Macaca mulatta: one gene and its partners. The protein of the gene in region 2 binds, or shares a complex with, the protein of the main gene of each other region. Links are inferred from orthologs where the notes say so. Each region holds a gene or a part of one and is shown on either strand. Other genes may lie near its edges.

Region 1 (4,020 bases), on a different chromosome or scaffold from region 2:
TTAAAATACGAACAAAATAAAAGTTCCGCTTTTGTTTTTTAGGGGTGCTATCCCTTAGCTAATTTTTAGCTTGTTCTATCATACTATCTTTACTTGTGCAAATTTAGCCCATCCTTGTAGGTCTAACGTTTATGCCACCTCTTTAGGAAGCCCATCTTGTGCTCTCTCCCTTCTCTAAAATTTTATATACATCCCTTAAACATATGTTTACATATTCTCCGCCTTCAACTCCCATTCTCAGGCTATTTTATTCCCGTTTATGAGATTTGCTGTTTAGCTCAGTATTTTGTGGGTTTTCAAAAGATTCCACTCAATTTACCGAGCACCTATGCACCAGACATTTTATTAGGTACAAGGAAAAGCGTTAAATAGATATAATCATGGCCTTCAAGAAACTGAACCTGGTAAGGGAGACGAATAAGTAGACATTCAAGTGAGCTTTAGGAGACTTGGTTTGGTAGTGAATACAGTCTCACGTGTATTAACAATTTACAGCACCGTAAAATAAGAGACAGAAGCCAACAAATCCGTTTCAAACAGTTCAAAGGAGGAAAAGGAGAGGGAAGGGCGGTTTAGATACAGCATCACCATAAATAGCCTGATAATCTAACCCTGTGATAATCCAAGTATAGTCACAGCACCTGCCTCAGAATCACTTGGAAGGCTTGTGAGGAATACAAACGCAGATTCATACCTACTGAAATTAGAATGGAGAAAGGGGCATTTAAGTCTGCATTTTAAAGACATTCCCCAGGTACTGAAGCCATCCAAAGTTTTAGAACAGAGCAGAGCCACGCTTCGCAGACCTTGTTCCTCAACTACTGCCTCCTTCTAGCCGGAGGGTGGCGTGCAGCGTGTCCCTTCCCTTCCCACCGTCCAAGTTATCTATCCAGTTTTCGAACGTCGGCCCACAGACCGCAGGACAATACGCGAGAGACTAGGAGCACCCACTACGCAAACCACCACACAGGGATCGGAGGCCGGACCCGCAAAGGATTTGGGGAAAAAGGCATCAGGCCAATCCGAAGGGCGAGAGCGGCCCTAGGAATGGAGGGGCGGGGTGGGTGGCGGGGGGGGGGGGGCGGGGAGAGAGAGGTTTTTTTTTTTTCTTGATTGACGTAAAGCGTACCCAATTAAAATAAAACTGGTAAAGCTTCCGCCATAATGGGCAGAACCATAGCGACATTTCAACCAATCCAGCTCAAAAGTGTCTATGTTGTGGGAGGTCCCTGAGGCCGCTGAGGTCGTTCGTGTCTGTTGAACGGTTGTGGGAGTCTTGCTGCTTTGGGTAGGGGGTTAAAATCGTTTCTTGAGAGGAACGACTCTGTCCGAAGAGATAATGAGTTTAGCTCTGAGGTCGGTAATAAGGAGGCGGCAGTGCTCTCCACACCCCGGAGCGGGACCTAGGGAGGGTGTGTGTGGAAGGGAGGCCGTTTGGGGCCGTGGCGAGGCAGGGGATGCTGTTTGGGATGCGGGAAAGGAGCCTAGGGCAGCCTGTCTGGATCACTCACCCTCTGGGCTCTGGTGCCCTGCAGGGAACGAGACTTCCAGTGCATTTCTACTAAGGAGGTTATTTCTGTCAGCGCGTAGGGCTTTCGACTACCAAAAAAATGGGCTTAGTTGCGAGCGAGGGGGAGGGAATGAAATATCGCGAGGCTTCTACTCTGTTGCTCTGAGAGATCAGGCCGCGGAACATCCCTTCATTCAATTCGTATGCCTGGCCAGGGCCCCACCTCCGCTGCTCTGCTGCTGATGCAATCATCCACCTATAAATTTTGGAAATAACAAAAAACTCTTTGCTATTCTCCCAAGGTCCTGCTTTACGGTGTAATTAGAAACCCATTTTAGTGACTAATTGGCAAACTGTCTCTTGGATTTCCTGTTTCTTTCATTTCTTTACCTTTCAGTTCTAACCTCTAACCCTCTGTCTGTTACCCGCTCCCCCTACGTAGACGTTGTACCGTAAAACTATACATATACTTAGGACACTCTAAAAATGTTCCATGTTCTGCTAAGGGATAATCATGGTACCCTTGGATGGGGTCAGGGGTGGGTCGGTTCTGGACTTGGCCTCTAAAAGTCTCAGGAAGGAAAAGACTGACCCCAGGAATACCCAAGTTTGTGTCAAGTCAGGTCTCATGAAAGGAAGATCTTCCTCAGCTTTGTCATACTGCATCTACTGGTCACTTCCTAGCCTTTTTTTTTTTTTTTTTTTTTGTAGCGTTCAGAGACCAAAACGACTTTCAAATGCAGCTAGATACGTGTTTTAAATACAGTCAACTGGTTTTGACATGTTAATGTGTTACCAGATTGTGTGTTTCAAAACTTGTTCTTATACCAGTGTTGCGGCTCCATTGGAAAACTTGGAGCACATTTAGATGGGCAGCTCTTACGGAAAACATTTCTGGCTTTAAAGTAATTTTTGCTTTTTTCTTTAAGCGTTTCCAGAGTTTATGAGAAGTTTAACCTCCAGTTTACATCTTAAGTGAGACAAGACTTATGAAGCACAAATATTGTATACTTTTTTGACATCTAATATTTGTCATATGTTTAGACTCATTAATATTTTGGGTGATTTGTTAATATCAGTGGAGGAAATGACACATAAATTGCCAAACTGTTAGAAACGTGTAATCTAAAAACATTTTGAACCAACAGTCCCAAAATATAAGTTAATCCAGTTGTATTTTTTGTAGTAATTTTATGAACTTAATTATCAGAACTATCAAAAGTAAACCGATATATGGTGATTGTCAGTTACGAATTTTGGTTTCATTTGGAGATTTTTTGGTTTCTTTAACATTCTTGTAGAATAATGTGAGTGTTTTTGTTTTTTTTTGGTTGGAGTTGGTTGGAGTTTCAGACATAAAAGTAATGTTGCTTATTCACAGTTCTTGAATAAATAAAAAGTTAGGGAAAGTGGGAATAAATAAAAAGCTGGGAAAAGGAAAAGTTTGGTCCTCATTTCTTTTAATAATCTGTAACACTCTTTAGTTTTGGGAAGTTCATATTTATAGCAATTTAGACTATGGAATAAACAGGGCATTGACTCATAAAGGGAAAGTTTCCCTGTCTTTCTCCAAAGTACTTTCTTTTTTGAAATTTAGAAAATAATTATTGGCTAATTTCTGTTAGTAAAGAGAATTAAAGTGGACTAAGGGCTTTTTCTTTCCATTTCATAGAAGTGAGCTTGTAGTAGACAAAACAAAGAGGAAAAAAAGAAGAGAACTGTCTGAGGAACAGAAACAAGAAATTAAAGATGCTTTTGAACTATTTGATACAGACAAAGATGAAGCAATAGATTATCATGAATTAAAGGTAATGGTATACTTTAAAATACTTGTTTCTGTGTTAAAATGATTTGCATTTTGACAGTTGCTTTACATTACATTTCTAAGTAATTATTTTAACTAAATTGGTTTTGGAACTATGAAGGCATTTTAAGCATTCATAGTTAGATTCTATAATAATACTGAATAGAACTCCTAACACAGTTTTTAGAAAATCTTTTTCACGTGATAAAACGAATAGCATTTTAAATGTAACAATACATTCCTAGGGAAGGTGCTTATTTTTCACTGACATAATTAAAGGATTTCAAACTGGAATTTAAACTATTACCATATTCTTTTCACTGTTTTTTTTGTTTTTGTTTTTGTTTCTTGGTGACTCATACTGTTTTCAGATTGTGGGATTGTTGTCTTTTAATCTTATAATTTGTATTTGTTAGTAACATAGTCTCAATCCACTTTCTGTGGTACAAACAACTTCAGTGCTGTTTGATGTTGACACATGCTTGTAGGTAAAAATGTCAACTTTAAGACCTAGAATGTCAAGGTGTAGAGAGGGATTTGTAAATTATTATTTGTCAGGGTATAAGGAGAGATTTGGGTTTAGGGTAGAATGGGACTTACTTTCAGCACAGTGGGAAAGATAGTATTTTGAGATTTTTAATAGCCTTAATGGATAGGTGAATGTAAGTGTTTATTTGATAGTTTTAATTTTTGTAATTTCTTAAGG
Region 2 (4,245 bases):
GAGCATTTATAATTCACTACAGAAATTTATTGTACGAAAGACTGTAATATCATCAGTCAGCCTTATATCCAGACAATCTCAGTTCTCATCCTGTCACTACCACTTTCTGACTGAGGGCCACCGGAGAAATTTCTCAACTTCCCCTGTGCTTCCCTTACCTCAACAATTATTATTATGTATGTGGATGTGTATATATACATATATATATCTTTTTTTTTTTTTTTTTCCTGAGACGGTCTCTGTCACCCAGGCTGGAGTGCAGTGGCGCAATCTTAGCTCACTGCAACCTCCACCTCTTGGGTTCATGCCATTCTCCTGCCTCAGCCTCCTGTGTAGCTGGGACCACAGGCGTCCACCACCACGCCCGGCTAATTGTATTTTTAGCAGAGGTGGGGTTTCACCATGTTGGCCAGGCTGGTCTCCAGCTCCTGACAGGTGTTCCACCTACCTCAACCTCCCAAAGTGCTGCGTACAGGCGTGAGCCACCGCGCCCAGCCCATTTTTATTTTTTGAGGCAGGGTGTGGCTCTGTTACCCAGGCTGGAGTGCAGTGGTACAATCACAGCTTACTGCAGCCTCGACCTCCTGGGCTCAAGCAATTCTCCCATCTCAGCCTCCTGAGTGTGCTGAGACTACATGCGCATGCCATCACTGCTGGTTAATTTTTGTGGTTTTGTTTTGTTGTTTTTTGTAGAGACGGGGTCTCGCCATGTTGCCCAGGCTGGTCTCAAACTCCTGGGCTCAAGCAATCCTCCTGTCTCGGCCTCCCAAGTGCTGGGATTATAGGCGTGAGCCACCGGCGCCTGGCCTACCTCATCAATTAAATAATAACCCCTAGGATGACTAGAAGTCTTCAAGATTACATGAGATCCCACATCTGAAGGTTTTTGCAAAGGACGTGGCACAAACTCGTGCAACTAGAGATGCATATGGCTCTTGCTCTGGAAATGATCACCTTGATAGGAGCAAACAAAGCTGGTCTTCCGTGCCCTTTAATCTCCCCTTCCAGCCTTCCACCTTCCACACTGGCGACCCCCCAACCCCGTTTTTCTGAACCTCCCTTCCTCCCCTTGCATAGCCCAAAGCCTCTCTCTAAAGTAGCCCACCGAAAACATCTGTCAAGTTCCTAACTTATCTGAATCGGAAGCTACTAATAGCCAACCTACATCTAAGAGGAACTGTAAGGTGTCAGAGGAACAAGGAGCATAGGTCGCTTAGACGTGGGCCACCCAAGAAGACAGATTGACACTAAGCGAACCCGCGCTGTCTGCGAAGGCGGGAGCGGCACCAGGACGATCCAGGGCGCAGGCGCCGGGGCCCCACGGCCACGCCCCTATTCAGCACGAGTTGGCCAATGGGGAGCGGCGGCCGGGAGAACGCGCGGCTTCTTTAGGTTCCGCTGCCTCCCCGGCCAAGCTTGACGTCACCAACGCGCGCCGGAAATGCGAGATCAACTGCGCGCCGCTGGCGCTGAGGGAAGGAAGTTTGCAGTCCAGCGGCCTAGGTTCTGTGGGCAAGGCCGTGGGAGGCAGCGTTGGCTGCTTCGACACACCGAGGGCGGCGCGATGGGAGACGAGATGGATGCCATGATTCCCGAGCGGGAGATGAAGGTCAGAGACTAACTGGGGCCTCCCTCCCTTCTTTAGTCCTGGCGTTGCCTTGGAGCCCAGCTGAAAGGCGAAGCGCGGTGCCGGCTGTCCCGTCTCCTGCTTGAACAGACTACCGCGTTCACCGCTCTCAGCTGCGCGTCTGCCGCGCCGCTGGCGTGATAGCCCCACCGAATGCAGTTTCCCAGTCCCATCCTGGTCTCGTGCACGTCTCTTGAGTTACCCTAGCTAGTTTCATGTGGCGGTCACAATAGTGGCAATAACTGCTGTGTATGGAGCGTTGACTGTGTGCCAGTCGCTGTGTAGTCATCGCAGCAGCCCTACGAAGTGGTTATTAACGTAGAGGAGTAAGTCGAGGCTCGGAAAGTGATTTCCCTAAAGTCACATTTGACAGCGGGGCTGAAAGCCAGCATCGTTTAAGACCTTCGCTCTGCCAGTATTTCTGTAAGGCGGTACGGGCTTGCCTAACGTAGGGTCAGGGGAGGTCATCCATCCTGCAGAACCTTTAGTTGACTGGACTAGGAAGACTGTTTTGATATCGGTGTATCAGCCTCAAACCAGGAACCTAAAGGGAGGGCTAAGTGTTTCCAGTGATGGCAACGTGGGAGTCCCCCAGGGATAACTTCAGGATGGTGTGTTTAATAGTTCTTATATGTGTTCTGACAGAATGAGGGTGCAGCAAACGGCCTACATCTGTTTTAAATAGTGAAAGGAAGTAAGATGCAGGAAGATTTTAGTCATCTGTGTGAACAGTAAATCACTAACATGCATGTAGGGCATAGTAATACATACCCTGTTTAGAATAGTGATTTTTTTTTTTTTTTTTTTTTTTGAGACAGAGTCTCGCTCTGTCTCCCGGGCTGGAGTGCAGTGGCCGGATCTCAGCTCACTGCAAGCTCCGCCTCCCGGGTTCACGCCATTCTCCTGCCTCAGCCTCCCGAGTAGCTGGGACTACAGGCGCCCACCACCGCGCCCGGCTAATTTTTTGTATTTTTTAGTAGAGACGGGGTTTCACCGTGTTAACCAGGATGGTCTCGATCTCCTGACCTCGTGATCCGCCCGTCTCGGCCTCCCAAAGTGCTGGGATTACAGGCTTGAGCCACCGCGCCCGGCCTTTTTTTTTTTTTTTTTTAAGACATAGTCTCGCTCTGTCACCCAGGCTGGAGTGCAGTGGCATGATCTCGGCTCGCTGCAACCTCCACCTCCCCAGCTCAAGCGATTCGCCTGCCTCAGCCTCCCGAGTAACTGGGATTACAGGCACCTGCCACCATGCCTGACTAATTTTTTATATTCTTTGGTAGAGATGGGGTTTCACCATGTTGGCCAGGCTGGTCACAAACTCCTGACCTCAAGTGATCTGCCCTCCTCTGGCTCCCAAAGTGCTGGGATTACAGGTGTGAGCCACCGTGTCGGCCTAGAATAGTGATTATTTTTTGAGAATCACCACCTGTGGTGAGCCACCTAATGGGATTGTGTCATATTCCTCAGATATACTGGGGTAGAAGAAAAAAAGGGTTTATTAATAGAATCACAGACTTAGAAGATGGTAATCTCAGACTCCCTTTGGCAGCACATATAAAATTGGGATCATGCAGAGAAGACTAGCATGGCCCCTTTACATGGATGACACACAAATTCGTGAAGTGTTCCATGTCAGAAAACACTGAAGGCCGAGCGGAGTGGCTCACGCCTGTGAGCCTGCACTTTGGGAGGCTGAGGCGGATGGATGACTTGAGGTCCGGAGTTCGAGACCAGCCTGGCCAACATAATGAAACCCTGTCTCTACTAAAAATACAAAAATTAGCCGGGCATGGTGGTGGGCGTCTGTAGTCCCAGCTACTTGGGAGGCTGAGGCAGGAGAATTGCTTGAACCTGGAAGGCAGAGGTTACAGTGAAGCAAGATCGCCCACTGCACTCCAGCCTGGGCGACAAAGCGAGACTCCGTCTCAAAAAAGAAAAAAAGACAACTGAGACAGACCGTGTTCTCAGTAATATATATTTTTGTTGTACTGAAATTGGGTCTACTGAATATAACTTGTTTTAATTTCTTTATTTATTGAATTGATCTTGTTTTGATTCTTCACAACAGGATTTTCAGTTTAGGGCGCTAAAGAAGGTGAGAATCTTTGACTCCCCTGAGGAATTGCCCAAGGAACGCTCGAGTCTGCTTGCTGTGTCCAACAAATATGGTCTGGTCTTTGCTGGTGGGGCCAGTGGCTTGCAGATTTTTCCTACTAAAAATCTTCTTATTCAAAATAAACCCGGAGATGATCCCAATAAAATAGGTAAGTTCCGTGGTTTATGTTGCAAAGTAGAGAGAGGAGTGTGGTGGCATGCTCTTGTGTTTCCTTCCCAAGAAGTCATTCTAATACTAAAATGAACACTGCTGTCAGTTTGAAGGTTGACTCCCAAGAAGATTAATGGAAGCCTTTCTAGGTTTTCTCCTTGGTCCTTTGTACTTTTCCTTACATGAGTTGTTCTTCTCAGCTCAAGAGGGAAGAACTTAACCATTATGCCATACTTTTATTCTTGCCCAGTTGAACTTGGGCTCTGGCTCTCTGGGTGAAGGGTTTTATTGGCATGGGTTTTCAGTTGGCACAACAGTACGATCCAAACTATTGGCAATGTGTACTATTTAG
Region 3 (3,500 bases), on a different chromosome or scaffold from region 2:
ATGGATATGAGACGCTCCAAGCTTACATCCTCCTGCCAGCTAGCAATCTCAGTAAAAGGAGTATATTTTCTTTCCCAGTATCTCCAGCAAGAGTCCTGATGGTGAATCTTGCTATAGCTCACATCCCTAAACTCAGAGTTCTGGAATGGGATCAGGCCTATCCAAAACATAGGAGCTAAGAATGGGGAAAAGGTGATTCCCTAAAGGGATGATGGAACAACAAACATGTATTTACCTTACTGGTATATAAACACATTTACTTACTGACTTACTGGTCAAGTTGAACATGCAATATTATCAGGGGAGTAAATGAGCAGTAACAGCCTTGTCATTAGAGACTGTTTTTGTAGTAGTTTTTCATAAATCAGAGGTCATCAACCTCTTTTAACCCCATTTGTTTCTAGCAGAATTAAATGCCAGTGGGTGCCGTGGGAACCTATTGTTAAGCCTAAAGTCAAATAGAAAAGGGATTTTTTAGAAATAAAAACAGGGCCAGGTATGGTGGCTCACACCTGTAATCCCAACACGTTGGGAGGTTGAGGTGGGGGGGATCCCTTCAGTCCAGAAGTTCGAGACCAGCCTGGGCAATATAATGAGACTCTGTCTCTGCAAAAAATTTTTAAAAAGAAAGAAAAATAAAGGCAGAAGCCACAGAAAGACATACATATGTTTTAAAAATAGAATACCATTATTTATTATTTATTTATTTATTTAATTTATTTTTTTTTTTGAGACAGGGTCTCACTCTGTCACCCAGGCTGGAGTGCAGTGGCGCAATCTTGGCTCACTGCAACCTCTGCCTCCTGGGTTCAAGTGATGCTCCTGCCTCAGCCTCCCAAGTAGCTGGGATTACAGGTGCCCGCCACTACGCCGGGCTAGTTTTTCTATTTTCAGTAGAGACGGGGTTTCACCATGTTGGCCAGGCTGACCTGGAACTCCTGACCTCAGGTGATGCACTTGCCTTGGCCTCCCAAAGTGTTGGGATTACAGGCGTGAGCCACCGCACCCAGCCAGAATGCCATTATTAACTGCCTACATCCATCCCTTGTAACATTTGTTCCATAAGTTATCTAAACTTGTCATATATTGGTTATACTTTACTCTAAAGTACCCTGGTTATTGTACTGACTGCTTTTTCTTGTTTCTTAAGGCACAACGACTCTGTAAACGCTGTGGTCAAGCATGGAGAGCTGCAACACTTGAAGGCTGGAAACTGTACCATGACCCTAATGTTAATGGAGGTATTTTAGTAGATTTTATATTGACAGTTGAGGACAAAGGCATTTCGCTCTAAATGCCAATCTTTGTGAACTATAGCTTCTCTTTTTAGAAAGGATTGTAATAAGGTTTCATTTTAAACCAGAAATTTTCTTTTACTGTTTTATAGGAACAGAATTAGAACCTGTTGAAGGGAATCCATATAGACGCATTTGGAAAATAAGTTGCTGGAGAATGGCAGAAGATGTAAGATAAATAAAATATTCAGTGATACTGTTTTTAACTCCAATTAATTGAAAGCCTATTCAGGGGCTATGAAACGTTGAAAGTAGTGTAAAACTGGTTTTCAAAGAACTTCCAATTAAATTGAGGAATAGGCTTAACAACTTATCAGAATTATTAAAACACTATGTACTAAGAATTAAGCATTGATATAAGGCAGAAATGTAAAGGAGGTACCAAATGAATTTAGAGAAAAAGTATTGGACTAAAGCTTAAAGCTGGCTTCCCTAAGGAAAGAATTGAATTGAACTTTTAAAACTTAGTAGGATTTGCGTTTTGGGGAATGAAAAACAAGAGGAAGGAATTCTAGGTAGGATACATAGATTGGGAAACTCAAAGTAAGGTAGGTCTACCAGGTTGGAGAAGAATGCTCATAAAGGAAATACTGTCAGTTCTGTTGTAACATGACATAGGTATTCAAAGTCACCACAATGTGCAGCATTGTACGAAAACCCCATAGGACTTAACAGGAAAATGGAGTTAAGACAAAAATACTCAAAAACTTCATTAGTGATACGTAAAATAATAAAAAGTTAATAAAAATGGTAGCACAGTTTTACATCTGTCAAACAGTTTAAAAAATACATAAATACTACAATAAATATGGCACTTTACCTTGAAAAAGGCCCAAAGTTTGCTTGTGGAATTGGCTGTCAGGGTGGTAGAAGCTTTAGCGCAGATAGCAGAAGTGTTTTTGAGAAGATCAGCCTGGCAATGGAAAAATATACTTAAAATTAGATGGACAAAAGGCTGAGAAAGTAGTTAGGAGCCTGTCAGAATTATTTGGACACTAAGTCATAAGGGTCTGACCTAGGATAGTATTGATGGGAATGGAAAGGAAGGAAGAGACACTGGTTAGGAGCAGTGATTAGAAACAGAAGGCAGAGGTGGACTCAGTTATGCAGTAAGAGTCTCTGAAGTCTCTTGTTTGGATGATAAGAAAACTGGAAATACCAAAAGTAAAATGGGGAATTAGTTCTACATAGAAATTAGATGCAAACTAATGCATGCCTTGTTTTGATGTTGTACATAGGTCAGTATCAGAGAGTATCAGGTCAATATCAGAGAGTATCAGGTATTGAGAAACATTCTAGGAGAAAATAATATATAGGTTGTTTCTGGAATAAAATTTGATTTTAAATATTCAAAGCATCCACTAGAGTTGGATTTGCTTTCACCCGATATTTGGCATTTAAATGTTTTACTTTTTTTCTCCAGATCTCAGCATTGATTATTTCATCACACTGAAGTTCTTCCTTGTTATTACCCCACTAGATCTTTCACTAAAGTTTAAAAACTATCAGGTGAATAGGTTCAGTCTAGAAGAGATTGCAAGACTCCACATTATGAGGAAAATTGACATACTAAGAAAAACAGTATTTCAAATTTGTTTATGTTCATTGTGTTTTAGGAGCTTTTTAATAGATACGAGAGAGCAATTTATGCAGCTTTAAGTGGGAATCTTAAGCAGGTATGCAATCTGTTTTAATGTTTAAATTTTTTCTGTGGAATAAAATTAAATAGATAAAATATTCTAACAATTGTATTTAACAAATATAAACTTAAGTGTATATACTTAAGTATGTATGTACATACTTAAGTGTAGCAATGATAGAGATAATCATGAATCAGATAGTGACTCGTTGTGCTTAATTTGATGTATCCCATAACATACATGGTGTTTTAATGAATGAAATCAGATTTCAGTTTTTAACTAAGAATTGTAAACTTAACTCCAACACACATTTATTGATGACTTAAAATACTCATAGCTGTATGCAGAAATGTGCCAGAAAGGCACAGTGAGTCCTTGGGTTGTCTTACATACGCATGTTTTTCTCACAACCCAATACTCCCCACATATTATAGCTATCTTTAGGGATACTACACTAATCAGTTGAAATGTCATATGAGCCTGGAAAACATGTTGTTGTTAACAGTATGAAAAAATCTGAACAGTTCAAACATCTTACAAGATGTAGTTGGCAGGGGAAAGCTTA
Region 4 (4,284 bases), on a different chromosome or scaffold from region 2:
GATCCGCCCATCTCGGCCTCCCAAAGTGCTGGGATTACAGGCGCCCATCACGAAGTCCGGCTAATTTTTTTTTTTTTTTTTTTTGGTCACCCAGACTTGAGTGCAGTGGCACGATCTCGGCCGACTGCAACCTCTGCCTCCTGGGTTCAAACGATTCTCTTGCCTCAGGTGTCCGCCACCACGCCCAGCTAATTTTGTAATTTTAGTGGAGATAGGGTTTCTCCCTGTTGGTCAGGCTGATCTCGAACTCCCAACCTCAGGTGATCCACCCACCTCGACCTCCCAAAGTGCTGGGATTACAGGCGTGAGCCACCGCGCCCGGCCTAAATTTTGTATGTTTAGTAGAGATGGGGGTTTCCCCATATTGGCCACGCTGGTCTCGAACTCCTGAACTTGTGATCCACCCGCCTCGGCTTCCCAAAGTTTGGGGATTACAGGCGTGAGGCACCGCACCCTGCCCAAGCCCGGCTAATTTTTAAAATATTTTTAGTAGTGACGAGGTTTCATCATATTGGCCAGGCTGGTCTTGAACACCTGACCTCCAGTGATCCGCCCATCTCGGGCTGCCGAAGTGCTGGGATTAGAGGCTTGAGCCACCTCAAGCCTCTAATCCTTCAGGAGCATCGATTTTGTCCCCGTGCCTCTTTTTTTTTTTTTTTTTTTTTTTTGAGACGGAGTCTCGCTCTGTCGCCCAGGCTGGAGTGCAGTGGCACAATCTCGGCTCACTGCAAGCTCCGCCTCCCGGGTTCACGCCATTCTCCGGCCTCAGCCTCCCGAGTAGCTGGGACTACAGGCGCCCGCCACTGCGCCCGGCTAATTTTTTATATTTTTAGTAGAGACGGGGTTTCACCATGGTCTCGATCTCCTGACCTTGTGATCCGCCCGCCTCAGCCTTCCAAAGTGCTGGGATTACAGGCGTGAGCCACCGCGCCCGGCCTCCCCGTGCCTCTTGTGTGTGTTCTAGTGTGGGAGTGACGGCGACTGCTTTCCAGCACAAGCCCATTTGACTGGGTTTGGACAAGTGGCTGCTACGACACTAAGGTGGAGATAAGGATGGAGCGAGGACTCCCAGAGTTGGGAAAGCTTGCAGGCTTACTGGGACCTCAGTCCGGCACAAGTTCCCACCCAGGTGCCGCCGCCCCAGCCTACGCACGCGCAGTCGCACCGTCTCTGGCCAAGGGTTCCTCCTGCCCCGCCCGCCCTCTCCGGGGGCCTTCTCTCCGCTCGGCACCAGGGTGTCCGCGGCGCCGCCTGATCCCGTTAGCGCGGTACTGTGAGTGCAGTCCGTCCTCGGCGCTGTTTTCCCTGACTTGCTGTCGACGCCAGGAAGGAAGGACGCGCGCAGAGGACCGCAGAGGGGTGGCCGTGGCTGAGGGAAGAGAGCGCCGCAGCACTGAAGGTTTGGGCTTGCAGGCGCTGCAGGAGGCGCCCAGGCGGGGTCCTGTCTCTCAGCCAGCTCTGAGCGGGAGGCCTGAGCCGGAAGCATTGACGTCCCGGCGACTTCCCAGAGCCTGGGGTTCGGCGCTATGGAGGAGCTCGATGGCGAGCCAGCAGTCACTGTAAGGGCACCCCGAACAGGCTTGATCGTCCTTGTGGGTTGAGAACTGCGTCTGCTTCGTTACTTCAGGCTTGTCTGCTTCCCTACTGGCTGCGAGGCTCTCGTCCCCTTCCCTTGATTCAGTTGCCACTTTCCGGAGGTCGCAGTGTTAACTAGGTGCCCGACCTCGGGTCGTAGTGGTCGCGGGGTTTCTGCCACCAGTCACAAAGCCAGGCCTCGAAGGTCCCAGTCCGTCCCTTTCCTTCTTTTGTCTTGCTGACCTTTCTACTTCCCTCGCATTTCCTCTTGGGTATTAGAGTGGGTTCAGCCCAAGCAGAGGAATTTATGTTTTTCTTCCAGCCATATTAAGCTCTGCATCGCGGCACGTTGAGTTCTGCTTGTGTGACCTAAGGTTTATTAAACGTATTATCTCAGGAGACTATTCATATTTTATCGCTGTGCATTCAATTCCATTTGAACTTTGAAGAGAGTATGTCAACTGTGGATGATCTGTGATGTGTATAAAAAAAATTCATGGACTTTATGTGCGACATACCTACCGTTTCTGCTACTTGGAATGCTTTTGTTTTCCCTCTTTCTCTTGTTAACCGCTGACTGAGGCAGGTCTCAACCGATGAAGGTTTATTTAGCTAAGGTTGAGGATCCAACCGGGAAAAAACACAGGTCCCAGGAGGATCTGAGACTTGTGCTTTTTCCAGAGATGGTTTTGGGAACATCAGTAGTTAAAGAGGAAGGAACTAGCAGGAGGGGCAAAAAAGGGAGGTTAGGCAGTGAAGAGGCAAATGGTTACATTCTTGTGAGTCTCTGATTAGCCTCAGTAAATCTGCATTTTACCTGTGAAAAGAGGGAGTAGAGGAAAAATTTATGTATGCATTCATCTCAGGGTAGGTAGAGGGATGGTTTCATTTCTTTTTTTTTTTTTTTCTGAGACGGAGTCTCGCTCTGTTGCCCAGGCTGGAGTGCAGTGGCGCCCCTCTGGGCTCACTGCAAGCTCGGCCTCCTGGGTTCACACCATTCTCCTGCCTCAGCCTCCCCCAGTAGTTGGGACTACAGGCGCCCACCACCACGCCCGGCTAATTTTGTTTTGTATTTTTAGTAGAGACGGGATTTCACCGTGTTAGCCAGGATGGTCTGGATCTCCTGACCTCGTGATTTGCCCACCTCGGCCTCCCAAAGTGCTGGGATTACAAGTGTGAGCCACTGCGGCTGGCCTCTTTCTTTTTTTGAGACGGAGTCTCACTTTGTCACCAAGGGTGGAGTGCAGTGGCGCCATCTCAGCTCACTGCAACCTCTGGCTCCCAGGTTCAAGCGATTCTTCTACCTCACCCTCCTGAGTAGCTGAGATTACAGGTGCGTGCCACCACACCCAGCTAATTTTTATATTTTTGGTAGAGATGGGGTTTCACCATCTTGGTCAGGCTGGTCTTGAACTCCTGACCTCGTGATCCGCCTACCTCAGCCTCCCAAAGTGTTGGGATTACAGGCGTGAGCCACCACACCTGGCTAGGAGTTCGAGACCAGCCTGGCCAACATGGCGAAACCCCGTCTCTACTAAAAAAAATACAAAAATTAACCTAGCGTGGTGGCGCATGCCTGTAATCCCACCTACTCAAGAAGCTGAGGCAGGAGAATCGCTTGAACACAGGAGGCAGAGGTTGCAGTGAGCGGAGATCGTGAGATCGCGTCACTGCACTCCAGCCTGGGCAACAAGAGTTCGAACTCCTGGCCGGGCGCGGTGGCTCAAGCCTGTAATCCCAGCACTTTGGGAGGCCGAGACGGGCGGATCACAAGGTCAGGAGATCGAGACCATCCTGGCTAACACGGCGAAACCCCGTCTCTACTAAAAACACAAAAAATTAGCCGGGCGAGGTGGCGGCGCCTGTGGTCCCAGCTACTCGGGAGGCTGAGGCAGGAGAATGGCGGGAACCCGGGAGGCGGAGCTTGCAGTGAGCTGAGATCTGGCCACTGCACTCCAGCCTGGGCGACAGAGCGAGACTCCGTCTCAAAAAAAAAAAAAAAAAAAAAAAAAGAGTTCGAACTCCTGACCTCAGATGATCTGCCCACCTCAGCCTCCCAAAGTGCTGGGATTACAGGTGGGAGCCACTGTGCCCAGCACAAAATGAATTTTTCTTACTAGTGTTATAAGAAAATGTTATTGAAGGATACAATGTTATTACAGGACCAGCTGTGCTCTTCACTTAAAGTGTTTTTCAGCCAGGCCGGCATGGTGGAAAGTGTTTTTCAGCCAGGCGGGCACGGTGGCTCACGCCTGTAGTCCTAGCACTTTGGGAGGCTGAGGCGGGTGGATCACCTGAGCTCGGGAGTTTGTAACCAGCCTGGGCAATATGGTGAAACTCCATTTCTACTAAAAATGAAAAAAAAAAAAAAGCCGGGTATGGTTGCACACATCTATAGTCCCAGCTACTCAGGAGGTTGAGGCAGTAGAAGACCTTGAACCCAGGAGGCGGAGATTGGAGTGAGCTGAGATTGTGCCACTGTACACCAGGCTGGGAGACAGAGTGAGTCGTTGTCTCAAAAAAAAAAAAAAAAAAAAAGAATAGAACGACTTCAGTAAGAAGAACATTCTTCATTTTAGATTTCTATGTCTTATTTTACTAGGTGATTCCAGGTGTGAATTCCAAGAAGAACCAAATGTGTTTTGACTGGGGTCCAGGGGAGATGCTGGTGTGTGAAACCTCCTTCAGCAAAAAAGGTAGGGGTTTTTT
Region 5 (3,500 bases), on a different chromosome or scaffold from region 2:
TCTGAATGAGAAAGGTGAGTGGGGTAGACAGTAGTACAAATTACAGCTCATATCTGACAGATTTTCACAAAGATTAAACCAAATCTACATAAAGTGTTTAACGTAGTACCTTTCATGTACTAAATGCTTTTTTTTTTTTTTTTTTTTGAGGCAGAGTTTTTTTTTTTTTTTTTTTTTTTGAGACGGAGTCTCGCTCTGCTGCCCAGGCTGGAATGCAGTGGCCGGATCTCAGCTCACTGCAAGCTCCGCCTCCCGGGTTCACGCCATTCTCCTGCCTCAGCCTCCCGAGTAGCTGGGACTACAGGCGCCTGCCACCTCGCCCGGCTAGTTTTTTGTATTTTTTTTTTAGTAGAGACGGGCTTTCACCGTGTCAGCCAGGATGGTCTCGATCTCCTGACCTTGTGATCCGCCCGTCTCGGCCTCCCAAAGTGCTGGGATTACAGGCTTGAGCCACCGCGCCCGGCTGAGGCAGAGTTTTGCTCTGTCACCCAGGCTGGAGGGCAGTGGCACAATCTCAGCTCACTGCATCGTTCATCTCCCAGCTTCAAACAATTCTGCCTCAGCCTCCCCAGTAGCTGGGATTACAGGCTACAGGCGTGTGCCACCATGCCCAGCCTTTTTTTTTTTTTTTTTTAGTAGAGACAGGGTTTCACCATGTTGGCCAGTCTGGTCTCAAACTCCTGACCTTAGCCTCTACTAAATGCTTAATAATTTTTACCTATTATTATCCTCATCAAAGTTCCAACTCCTAGTACAGCGCCTGACACATAATAGGCATAATTCAATGTTTGCTGTACTTTTCATGTGAATCAAGAGCATCATTTCTAAATAATCATTTGAAGAAACCACTTTCTCATTGAATATTGAGTAATTCACACAACTATTATGGAGAACTCACTGTGTGCCAAGCACTGTAGTGGGTTTGGGGAATATAAAAGTAAACAGTATGTGTTCTGCCCTTACCAAAATAATGATTTCGTGGGGGAGATATATACAAGTAAAGCAGCAGTTACTGTAGCTTCATAAGTATAGGGGTTAAGCAAAGAGAACTATCAATGTGCCAGCACATAGCTGGATGTGGTGGTGCGTGACTGTAATCCTAGCACTTTGGGAGGCTGAGGCAGGAGGGTTGCTTGAGACCAGCCTGAGCAACATAGCGAGAGCCCCCCTTTAAAAAAAAAAAAGCCTGTGTTACATAAAACCTCTCTAGTATTGGTTTGTTCTGCTTTTCCCCCTTACCCCACATGTCACCATGTAAATCTCCTTTGAATTCTCACCTTTGGGAGTTTTAGCTGTCTTCTCTTTGCCTGGAAAGCTGAGCTCTCTCCTTGTAATTCAGGTCTCGACTTAAATATGACCTCCTTGAAGAAGCCTCTCTTGGTCCTCCAGTCTCAAGTAGCTATCCAGTTTCTCTCTGCAACATCCACCTGTTTAAATTATCTACATGGCTTGTGATTTTTCAGGATGTATTACTGTTTTATGTTTTCTTATTTAGTTTCTGTCAGTTTCATGAGAGCAAATAATTTGTCTTGCTCTTGATCCTCCTGCTGCCTGCACCCAGCTTTTTTGGTGTTTTAGAAAAGGCTAGGCCAGGCGCGGTGGCTCAAGCCTGTAATCCCAGCACTTTGGGAGGCCGAGACGGGCGGATCACGAGGTCAGGAGATCGAGACCATCCTGGCTAACACAGTGAAACCCCGTCTCTACTAAAAATACAAAAACTTAGCCGGGCGAGGTGGCAGGCGCCTGTAGTCCCAGCTACTTGGGAGGCTGAGGCAGGAGAATGGCGTGAACCCGGGAGGCAGAGCTTGCAGTGAGCTGAGATCCCGCCACTGCACTCCAGCCTGGGTGACAGAGCGAGACTCCGTCTCAAAAAAAAAAAAAATAGAAAAGGCTATAAACTTGGAGTCAGGGGACCTAAATTAAATGTTGGTTCAGGCTGCATTTTTTACTTCCTGTGTGCTCTTAAGAAGTCATACCATCTCTCTGAACCCAGTTTATCTTGATTTTTGGTGCTGTATTATTAAAGCTTGCTGTATTATTAAAGCTTGCTGTATCTTTCGGGATCTCAAGACTTTCCTAGTCCAAGGCTGTGTACACTATGTTACCTTCCTCTTGTCTGTTACTGCATAATTAGTGCCTTGTCCTCCACTAGATGGTGGTGGCTTGACCCTGTGTCATCTTCTTGGATTTTCCCCTCCCTCACCTCACTGTTGTTTCAAGGTTTTGTATAGAGTCTATAGGTGGTGTTGAGTGATAGGAACTCCCCTTGGATTAATTGACTTCTCTGCTTCTTTGTAGGTGGATTGCTCAGGTTATGACCTGGAGCAGTTACACATCAAAGTGACTTCACTGTGCAGTCGCATAGAGCAGATTCAGTGTTACAATGCTAAAGATCGCCTAGCTCAGTCAGGTAAGCCTCTAATCTCCTCACTTTTTCTGCCTTCTTGCTTCCTGTTTTTATCTTACACCCCACCCTCAGTGCCTGCCACCGTTCTCTAGACCCATGCTCAGTGCTTAACTCTAGTTTTTCTCTCTAGACATGGCCAAACGTGTAGCCAACCTGCTGCGGGTGGTGCTGAGTCTGCATCATGCTCCTGATAGAACCTCCGACTCAACACCAGACCCTCAGCGAGTCCCTTTGCGCCTCTTGGCTCCCCACATTGGCCGGCTCCCCATGCCTGAGGACTATGCCATGGACGAACTGCGCAGCCTTACCCAGTCCTATCTGCGAGAACTCGCTGTTGGGAGCCTGTGAGCCCCAGACTCTTTGCATCACACTCACATGCCCGTTCACACTCACCACACAGAGGTTCCCTGCCTTGTTTGGATTGGCACTGTTTGCCATTCTCTGGGTTGGCTATGGCATCTGCCCTCCTTCCCTGCTGCCACAAGCAGCATCCTCCAGTTGTTCAGGGCTTTTCTTAATACTAAACATAGCATAAGGGCTTCTGGAACCCAGAAGAGGAGACAATTCTCTTTTTACCATCCTCAAGACCAGTGTTTTTCCTTTTAATAAATGGTCAATAAAGCTCCTTTGGCAGAATCCCCCAAAGAACCAGGGAATCCTTTTTCACCCCTAGCCATTCTGGATCTTGTGACCCTCCATGCCAACCAGCTACCCTACTCCTACCCTGGCCCTTTTATGCTAGGACTCCTTAGGAGGAGTGAGACAGGTAGTAATGGATCCTTAACAGGTGAACTATCCACAGAAGGAAGAGGGATCCGTCTCTTAAGTAATTGGTTAGTTAACACTGAATTTTGGAGGCAGAGGAGGGTTGGCCTGAGTTAGGAAACAGAATGGGATCTTTCTGACACACTTAGGGCAGAAGTGAATGCCTGCCATGGAGGGATTGATCTTCAGAGCTTCTTTTGTTCCTGCCTTTAGTGTTCCATGAACACCATACCTTTGCTACTACTATGTGCAGGAGCCCTTGGTCATATGTGACATGTCTATGGGAAGCTCCCAGAATTTGGTTTGGTCCCTGGTTTTCAGTCATCTT
Region 6 (4,246 bases), on a different chromosome or scaffold from region 2:
AGCTTCATCAATCATTTCCTATATGACAGTAAAGATTCAGGTTAGATTAATTTATAAACTAATGCCAAAAGGTGACTAAGTAATATGACTCTTTTTAGAGACGGGGTCTCTATGCTGCCCACACTACTCTCAAATTATTGGCCCCAAGCGATCCTCCTGCCTCAGCCTCCTAAAGTACTGGGATTACATGCATGAGCCACTGTGCCTGGCAAGCAATAGACTTTTAATAACACTATGTGAATAGATAATTGTAGTCCACCCAATGCCAGTATGCCACTCCTGATAATAGCTTGGTTCCTGAAAACTTATTTGAAAACCAACTCATACTTTGTCAAACATTATCACCTGGGAGGGAGCTTGAAGATTACCTTGACTAGAGGGATTCCTGGAATGTAAAATAGTAGGCAAAACTGTGCCTATGTGCATTTTTCTGGAAGCAGCGTTCATAGGTTTGTCTGACTATTAAAGGAGAATTCAGTTGTCCACAGAGGGACAAAGTACACTGGCTTTCCTTCAAAGAAGTGCTCACACTAGGGAAAATGTAACAGAAAAGTCACAGAGGGCCCAAAGGTGGGAATCTTAAGTTCCAGTGTGATGCATTACAAACCTGCAGCTCCTCATCAGTCAGGTTCTCACCCAACTCCTTGGCCACGCGTTTCAGATTTTTGAACGAAATCTTCCCAGTTTCATCATCATCAAAGAGCTTGAAAGCTTTCAGGATTTCTTCTTTGGTATCTTTCTCAGACTTACCAAATAGAACATGAAACACATGAGTAGGGGGACACCATGGTTACTCATGTCCTGTAGCCCTGCCACTGCCCGGTCAGGTCACCCTTTCCTTTTTAACAATGTAACTCGAGTCTAGACTTGCAGCAAGTGTCAGGAAGCCCATTTTGGCCTCAGAGAAACACCAGTCAAGCCAGGCACTCCATCCAAGGTGACGTTTGCTCCCTATCCCTATATCTCTCCCTATCCCATATCTATTTCCTAACTGGTTTAGAATTCTGTGGGAAGAGGTATCTGCTTGGAAGTCTTGAGAAAGAAGTACAAGGGCTTGTTTTGGGAGCCCAAGGTAACATGATGGGAGGGCAGGCCTCCTGATGCAGCTGCTACCTGGACTGCTCTGTGGTCACATGACTGTTTTAACAGGCAGATGCCATGGGCCTCTGCAGATGACTGGGGCGCCATACCATGCAAATTGTCTTAGCTACTCACCATTTTCTGGGTCATCACAGTTAAAAAGTCACCAAAGTTCATTTTTCCTGTCCCTTCTTTGTCAATTTCACTTATCATTTTCTTAATTTCTTCTTTCTTAGGTTCAAAGCCCAGGGCCCTCATTGCCACCTATAATGAAAACAGGATTGTCTCAATAAGCACATCTGAACTAGCAGCAGCAAAAACAACAGTGTTGAGAGCATTAAGCCAGCATCTGATGTGGTCATGTTAATATGATTGGGGAACACTATAACATTGATCTAATTGACATTTGCAATCAATTTTATTTAATAATACTCTAAGTAAAGACAGGAAAACAGAGCACAGTACAACCTCCCCTGTTACTTATTGCAGGGAGAAGAGGGCAAAAGGGGTAGAGAGGTGATAGGGAGATGACAAGGAAGAGGCAGAGGAAAGGAAGGGCAGTACGGCAGGAATGCATAGAGCTTGCCTTAAGTTCTTTAACATCTATGGTGCCAGTTCCATCCGCATCGAAAAGATCAAAAGCTTCCCGGATCTCCTGCTTCTGCTCTTCAGTAAGCTCAGGCTTAGGACTCATTCTTTTTCTCTGGGAACTTGATGCCATGTTTGTCTTCTTAAAGTTGGAGGCCTTCATACGTTATGCAATACACAAGCACAATAATATATCGTACAGTCCATATTTACATAACATAGTTACAGACACCCATATGTAGTTTTAAATAATTTTATGGCAACCAATTCCAAAGCTTTGCTTAACAAGAAAGATAACAGGGTTTACTGGCAAGAACAATGAATCTTTCCATGAACTTCTATCCCTCCCTTTTCTTTACTGTCGTTTCTAGAAGCAGGGAGATCACTTGTTCAGTAAGGATACCTCTTACTGAAAATCATCCCAAAAGAGAGCTAGTCAAGAAAATGACTGCGAATAAGTAGAGATAATCAGCTCTTCCCGAATGTGGGGATCCTGGTTCTGGAAACTGCCTTACAATGCCCACTCCCAGTACTCCGCTTCCCAGTAAGCACTCTGACTTCCCAATTACTTCTAGATTTGGCCAAATATTAGCAAGTTGTTAAGATGTATATTGTGTCAGTATCGAGTAATAAAACTCAATCCATCTGACACCTTCGTGCCTTCTCCAAGAAGCTACAGCATCCCCTGAATGCCCCTATATTTAAATTGTAAAAAACACTTTAATAGAACACAATACACCTTCTCCCAGCTCTGTGTGGAAATTTTGGCAGAATGAGGCGGCCAGGGGGCCAAGGTCTGAGAAAGTCAGGGGCCTGTGAGGGATTCGAGTCTTTTTTGCCCAGGGAGGTTCACCGAGGTGATCAGGGAAGGCCAGGGGAGCCCGAGGGGCGGGTGTGGGCCTGTTGTGGGTGAAGGGGAGGCAGCAGCAAAGCGCAGGCCCAGTAGGTTGGTTAGCGTCTGTACCCTACTCTTCCGGGAAAGAGCTCAAAGGAAGGACTGGTGCGTCAAAGCCGAGAAAGGCGCAGGAGAGGCGGCGTGGCCGAGCTGGGGCCTGGGAAGGGCTCAGCCTCTGGGCGTGGGGCGCGACAGAGCGGCAGCACTCACCATAGCCAAAGGAGTCCACGGCCGGTTGTTAGGCAACCGACGTGTACACTGATTCGGCGCCGCTCCCACCGCCCCGCGCGCACAGCCCCGCTCCCCATTGGGCGTCCGCTCGCCGCCGCCGCTCCCTACTGGTGCAGGGCCGAAGAGGGTGGGACTAACCTGGCAAAGCCCAGGCCCAGCGCGGGGAGGGGCACGCTGGGGACAGAGACCTGTCTTTATTGGGCAAGATCAAGCCGTGAGCGCCAATTGGCTGAGCCGACGCCGAGCTGGGCCAATCCTCTTGGTAGAAGAAGCTCGGCTGATTCTCGGCTCACGCGGGAGGGGAGTAAAGGGTGGCGTTCCGGGGCTGGAGTTCGGTGGGTGCAGCCTGCTTGCGAGCTGAGGCCAGCCAGTGGGGCACCTGCGGACGGGTAAGAGTCGTGGCCTTGCCCTTGGAGGCCACCCTGTGTCAGCGACTGGGCGGGGCGGGAGGGTGAGGAGCTGCGGGGCCGCCCGGGTCGGGTGCTTTCTGTGCTGACCTAAGGCTGAGTTAGGGACCGAGTGCATCAGAGCAGCCAGAGACGATTGACCTTGCGTGTTGGAGCAGGGACTGTACTCACGGGGCAACTGAGACCCGGAGAGGGGAAGGGGTCTGCTGAGCGTTGTGGCAGAGGTCGGACGGCTGGGACCTAGGAACTGAATCCAGCCGAGGCTCGCTCTTTGAGGGTGGCCCTTCGAGAGCACCCCCAGACTGACCCAGATGTGTAGGCCCCAGACCAGGTTCCAAGAGAGGATCACTTCAGGTCTTACCTGGCTAAAAACAGCCCAGGACGGTGAACTGGGGGCTTTGGGAACGGACTTTGAAAGGAGTGAAGGGGATGTGAGCAAGCAAGAGGGGCGGGGAGAGGTCATCAAAATATACTCTTTTTGACACCCACACAGTGCAGATAAGGAGGAGCATTCCAGGCCGAGACGCCCTCATCAGCAGAGTCACAGGAGTTTTGGAAGTGAGAGGTATGCTTGGAGAATTAAAAGGGAGCGTGTGCAAGGGCTGTGTGGACTGAGACAGACCTGCAGAAGTGGAGCTGGAGGTCCAGTTTGCCCTCTTTAGCTGTCTACGTGGCTTTTAGCCTTCACCTGATTTTCCTCCAGGCACTGGGGCAGTAATCTAGGGAAGTAGAGGGCAGAAAGTAAGTTTTTCAGGCAGAGAAAGGCCTGAGGCTTATTAGAACCTTTTAAATGGAGCTTCTGCCCTTTGCCCTCTTCAGCAGTGAACAGACTCCTAATTTTTGGGTCATCATCATCCCCCCAAGTAGTACGAGCCAGAGTTCTCATCATGGTCTCCAAAGCTTGGCACGACGTGTCCCCTCCCATCACTCCACAACTCTTCTCTCAGCCCCAGAACACTGGCTTTGTGGTTGAACCTCATGTGCCAGCCACACTACTGCCTCTCATCTTTGTCCCAGTTGTCCTCTCTGTCTGCCTCCTCTTAAG
Region 7 (3,500 bases), on a different chromosome or scaffold from region 2:
GACTGATATATTTAAAACCCAAGGGCCGGACGCTGTGGCTCACACCTGTAATCCCAACACTCTGGGAGGCCAAGGCGGGCGGGTCACCTGAGGGAGTCTCTCTCTGTTGCCCAGGCTGGAGTACAGTGGCGCGATCTCAGCTCACTGCAACCTCTGCCTCCTGGGTTCAAGCGATTCTCCTGCCTCAGCCTCCTGAGCAGCTGGGATTACAGGCATTTGCCACCACGCCCAGCTAATTTTTGTATTTTTAGTAGAGACAGGGTTTCACCATGTTGGCCAGGCTGGTCTCGAACTCCTGACCTTGCGATCTGCCCACCTTGGCGTCCCAAAGTGTTGGGATTACCGGCGTGAGCTACCACACCTGGCCTCCTTCCTTTCTTTCGAGACAGTCTCACTATCACCCAGGCTGGAGTGCAATGGTGCCATCTTGGCTCACTGCAACCTCCACCTTGCAGGTTCAAGCGATTCTTGTGTCTCAGCCTCCTGAGTAGCTGGGATTACAGGTGCCCACCACCACGCCTGGCTAATTTTTGAATTTTTGTTAGAGACGGCATTTTGCCACATCGACTAGGTTGATCTCAAACCCCTGACCTCAAGTGATCCACCTGCCTCAGCCTCCCAAAGTGCTGGGATTACAGGCGTGAGCCACCGCACCTGGCCAACATGACCTAAGTTGGGTTTTAAATATATCATGTTATGCTGAATAAACCCAGAGTCCTTACAGTGGCCTAGAGTGACCCACTGCTGTCTCTCTACCTTCATCTGTTCACTCTTCCCCTCCTCTTCACCAGCCACATACCTTCTTGCAATTCCTTGAATATGCCGGGACACCCCTACTTCAAGGCATTCGTTTGGTATAGCCAGCTACTAGCTTGGCTCATTCCCGCAGCTCCTTTAGGTCTTTACTCAATGTCACCTCGTTGAGGCCTTCCCTGACCACCCTTTTCAAAATTGCGGTGTCCCTGCCTGCCCTCCCTATGTCTTGGCATTCTCTGTACTCCTTTTGTGTCTTATTTTTCTGACTTACTGCCATTCTACTTAATTTAACTGTCTCTGCTTCTCCCCTTCCCCTAAGGGAATATAAGTTCCATGAGGACAGGAGTTTTAAAATTTGTTTACTGCTATGTCACCACCATCTAGGACTGTGCCTGGCACAGGAAAGGTACCTAGGGATTGTTTTGGAAAGAATGAAGTGATTCTGCTGGGTGGCAATATGGGTTACTGTCTGTAAAAGGCAAAAATTTCCACGGGAAGTATAAAAATGCTATTTTTATGGATCTAATAATGATTCAAAATATTTTAGGTGTGATATATGTAGGAAAGTTACGTCCTAAAACTTTGTTAGTACAGAAATACAGAAGCCTGTTGCCTGTTATAAAGACCTTGTTCGTGGTTACATCATTCTTGCCTTTGGGTTTCTCAAAGTGTGTTCAAGAGGTGCCTTGGATATCATTGCAGGTATGGTGTCAGTTGTGGAGCTGAAACAGAGTTCAGTAATGCAACGATTGCTTACAGGCTGGATGCCAACAGCCATCAGGTGAGTGGTGTCTGGTAGGTAAATCAAAGGGCCCAAGAATTTAATCTTTTTGTACTGGTCGGCAGTTATTGTTTCCAGTCTTATTCCAAGGCAAACATTATACTGGAAAGGAGAACAGTCAGAATAAAATCAAATTCCATCTGAGGAAAGCCATACTCCCAAGTCCATTTCGTCTGCAATTGGATGCATTGACAGCATAAAGCAGCCTACTGTTTATATTCTCAGAATACCCAGTTCGGTGCTCTGCCCTGACTTACCCAAATCGAGTTTTGTGTAAAATTATCAGAAGTAGAAAGTTTTTGATGGTTAAAGGAAAACAATACAAAAGGAAACAGTCTTCCATTGTTATGTAGAGCCTTTTAAATTTTATTGTAGTAATTGGTGATAAACCAAATAGAAATGTAGTTGTCTTATACTAGCATATAAGCTCTTGGTCCTTCTGCTAAGAGTGTACATTTATAATTCTATTATATTTCTTGAATTGCAAATTCTAATGATGAGATACTTTGCAGCAGTAAAACTCTAAAACTGGGTCTTATGTTTTAGGGGTGACCAGTCGCCTTCAGATCGTCCCCTCAGTCTTGCTGTTCATTGTGTGGAGCATGATGCCTTCATCTTTGCTCTGTGTCAGGATCATAAACTACGAATGTGGTCTTACAAGGTAAGTGCTACATTTATAGTTGCTGTAAGTTAAAATAGCATTGTGAATCATGAGAATTGAAATAAATTTTGCTGTTTCTCTTAAAGATGATCAGATCAATTAGTTTGGAAATTATTGGTCACTTCCAGATTCAGACAGTTTCATTTAGCTTTATTTTGCATATATTTTCCTCCTTATTGTCTTTTTATTTGGAAAAATTATCAATCTTACAGGAACACTGAAAGAGTAGTACAAAGTATACATTTCACTATTTTTTCTTTTTTTAAAATTTTTATTTTTTGAGACAGTCTCACTTTGTCACCCAGGCTGGAGTACAGTGGCATGAATGCAGCTCACTGCAGCCTCCGCCTCCCGGGCTCAAGCTATTCGCCACCTCAGCTGCTCAAATAACTAGGACTACAGGCTCATGCTACCACAGCTGGCTAATTTTTGTATTTTTTGTAGAGACCGGGTTTTGCCATGTTACCCAGGCTGGATGTTTCATTTAAGAGCAACAAATATGTTTTAAAAATGTAAGTTGGTAAAATGGTTTTCAAGATTCATCTAAAAAAATACAGCTTATATTTTATATGAGTCTGATCTTATATTTCAGACTGAAGAGATGTTTTACATGTTAGCCTCCCGCCCCCCACCCTCCCCTGAAACAGTCTTGCTCTGTCACTCAGGCTGGAATGCAATGGCGCAATCTCACCTCACTGCAACCTCCGCCTCCGAGGTTCAAGTGATTCTCCTGCCTCAGCTTCCCAAGTAGCTGGGATAACAGGCATGCACCACTGCACCTGGCTAATTTTTGTATTTTTTAGTAGAGATGGGGTTTCACCATATTGGCCAGGCTGGTCTTGCACTCCTGACCTCAGGTTATCCACCCACCTAGGCCTCCCAAAGTGCCGGGATTACAGAAGTGAGCCACTGCGCCCGGCCCGTGTTAGCCCTTTTAAAACAAAAACCTGTAAGGTCTTTTAGCAGATAAACTAGATAGAGTGGTAGATATAATGAAAGGTCCATCCTTTCAAAAGGTACGTTCTTCTAGCCTGAATATCCCTTGAATATCACCTATTAACTGTTTTCCTGGACAGGAGCAAATGTGCCTGATGGTAGCTGACATGCTGGAATATGTCCCTGTGAAGAAAGACCTTCGGCTCACTGCTGGAACTGGACACAAATTACGGCTTGCTTATTCCCCTGCCATGGGACTCTACATAGGGATATACATGCATGCACCAAAACAAGGACAGGTATGAAACACATAAGACACATACCAAGTTATTCTGTGTGTACTGATGTGGAGAAATGGCTGTAGAC

The links.
Region 1: NUP214 (region 2) and CETN3 share a complex: the UniProt entries of both Homo sapiens proteins name them as parts of the nuclear pore complex. The link is inferred for Macaca mulatta from reciprocal best matches to the Homo sapiens genes NUP214 and CETN3.
Region 3: NUP214 (region 2) and NUP107 share a complex: the UniProt entries of both Homo sapiens proteins name them as parts of the nuclear pore complex. The link is inferred for Macaca mulatta from reciprocal best matches to the Homo sapiens genes NUP214 and NUP107.
Region 4: NUP214 (region 2) and NUP85 share a complex: the UniProt entries of both Homo sapiens proteins name them as parts of the nuclear pore complex. The link is inferred for Macaca mulatta from reciprocal best matches to the Homo sapiens genes NUP214 and NUP85.
Region 5: NUP214 (region 2) and NUP98 share a complex: the UniProt entries of both Homo sapiens proteins name them as parts of the nuclear pore complex. The link is inferred for Macaca mulatta from reciprocal best matches to the Homo sapiens genes NUP214 and NUP98.
Region 6: NUP214 (region 2) and centrin-2 share a complex: the UniProt entries of both Homo sapiens proteins name them as parts of the nuclear pore complex. The link is inferred for Macaca mulatta from reciprocal best matches to the Homo sapiens genes NUP214 and CETN2.
Region 7: NUP214 (region 2) and NUP160 share a complex: the UniProt entries of both Homo sapiens proteins name them as parts of the nuclear pore complex. The link is inferred for Macaca mulatta from reciprocal best matches to the Homo sapiens genes NUP214 and NUP160.

Annotation. Positions count from the first base shown.
Region 1 is NC_133411.1:96,792,236-96,796,255, reverse strand, and holds the start of CETN3 (centrin-3), read left to right. Parts: upstream 1-1,220; 5' UTR 1,221-1,339; coding exon 1,340-1,356; intron 1,357-3,182; coding exon 3,183-3,318; intron 3,319-4,020. UniProt on the Homo sapiens protein: Plays a fundamental role in microtubule-organizing center structure and function. As a component of the TREX-2 complex, involved in the export of mRNAs to the cytoplasm through the nuclear pores.
Region 2 is NC_133420.1:16,423,360-16,427,604, reverse strand, and holds the start of NUP214 (nuclear pore complex protein Nup214), read left to right. Parts: upstream 1-1,445; 5' UTR 1,446-1,564; coding exon 1,565-1,609; intron 1,610-3,162; exon of another isoform or gene 3,163-3,264; intron 3,265-3,695; coding exon 3,696-3,891; intron 3,892-4,245. UniProt on the Homo sapiens protein: Part of the nuclear pore complex. Has a critical role in nucleocytoplasmic transport.
Region 3 is NC_133416.1:75,841,611-75,845,110, forward strand, and holds part of NUP107 (nuclear pore complex protein Nup107), read left to right. Parts: intron 1-1,150; coding exon 1,151-1,241; intron 1,242-1,387; coding exon 1,388-1,464; intron 1,465-2,911; coding exon 2,912-2,971; intron 2,972-3,500. UniProt on the Homo sapiens protein: Plays a role in the nuclear pore complex (NPC) assembly and/or maintenance. Required for the assembly of peripheral proteins into the NPC. May anchor NUP62 to the NPC. Involved in nephrogenesis.
Region 4 is NC_133421.1:84,893,998-84,898,281, forward strand, and holds the start of NUP85 (nuclear pore complex protein Nup85), read left to right. Parts: upstream 1-1,484; 5' UTR 1,485-1,526; coding exon 1,527-1,559; intron 1,560-4,177; coding exon 4,178-4,271; intron 4,272-4,284. UniProt on the Homo sapiens protein: Essential component of the nuclear pore complex (NPC) that seems to be required for NPC assembly and maintenance. As part of the NPC Nup107-160 subcomplex plays a role in RNA export and in tethering NUP96/Nup98 and NUP153 to the nucleus.
Region 5 is NC_133419.1:72,131,707-72,135,206, forward strand, and holds part of NUP98 (nuclear pore complex protein Nup98-Nup96), read left to right. Parts: intron 1-454; exon of another isoform or gene 455-1,609; intron 1,610-1,743; exon of another isoform or gene 1,744-1,889; intron 1,890-2,298; coding exon 2,299-2,410; intron 2,411-2,537; coding exon 2,538-2,755; 3' UTR 2,756-3,500. UniProt on the Homo sapiens protein: Plays a role in the nuclear pore complex (NPC) assembly and/or maintenance. NUP98 and NUP96 are involved in the bidirectional transport across the NPC. May anchor NUP153 and TPR to the NPC.
Region 6 is NC_133426.1:159,106,006-159,110,251, forward strand, and holds the start of centrin-2, read right to left. Parts: upstream 2,801-4,246; 5' UTR 2,777-2,800; coding exon 2,774-2,776; exon of another isoform or gene 2,408-2,773; intron 1,826-2,407; coding exon 1,667-1,825; intron 1,345-1,666; coding exon 1,216-1,344; intron 746-1,215; coding exon 608-745; intron 19-607; coding exon 1-18. UniProt on the Homo sapiens protein: Plays a fundamental role in microtubule organizing center structure and function. Required for centriole duplication and correct spindle formation. Has a role in regulating cytokinesis and genome stability via cooperation with CALM1 and CCP110.
Region 7 is NC_133419.1:17,750,756-17,754,255, forward strand, and holds part of NUP160 (nuclear pore complex protein Nup160), read left to right. Parts: intron 1-1,458; coding exon 1,459-1,537; intron 1,538-2,083; coding exon 2,084-2,198; intron 2,199-3,274; coding exon 3,275-3,433; intron 3,434-3,500. UniProt on the Homo sapiens protein: Functions as a component of the nuclear pore complex (NPC). Involved in poly(A)+ RNA transport.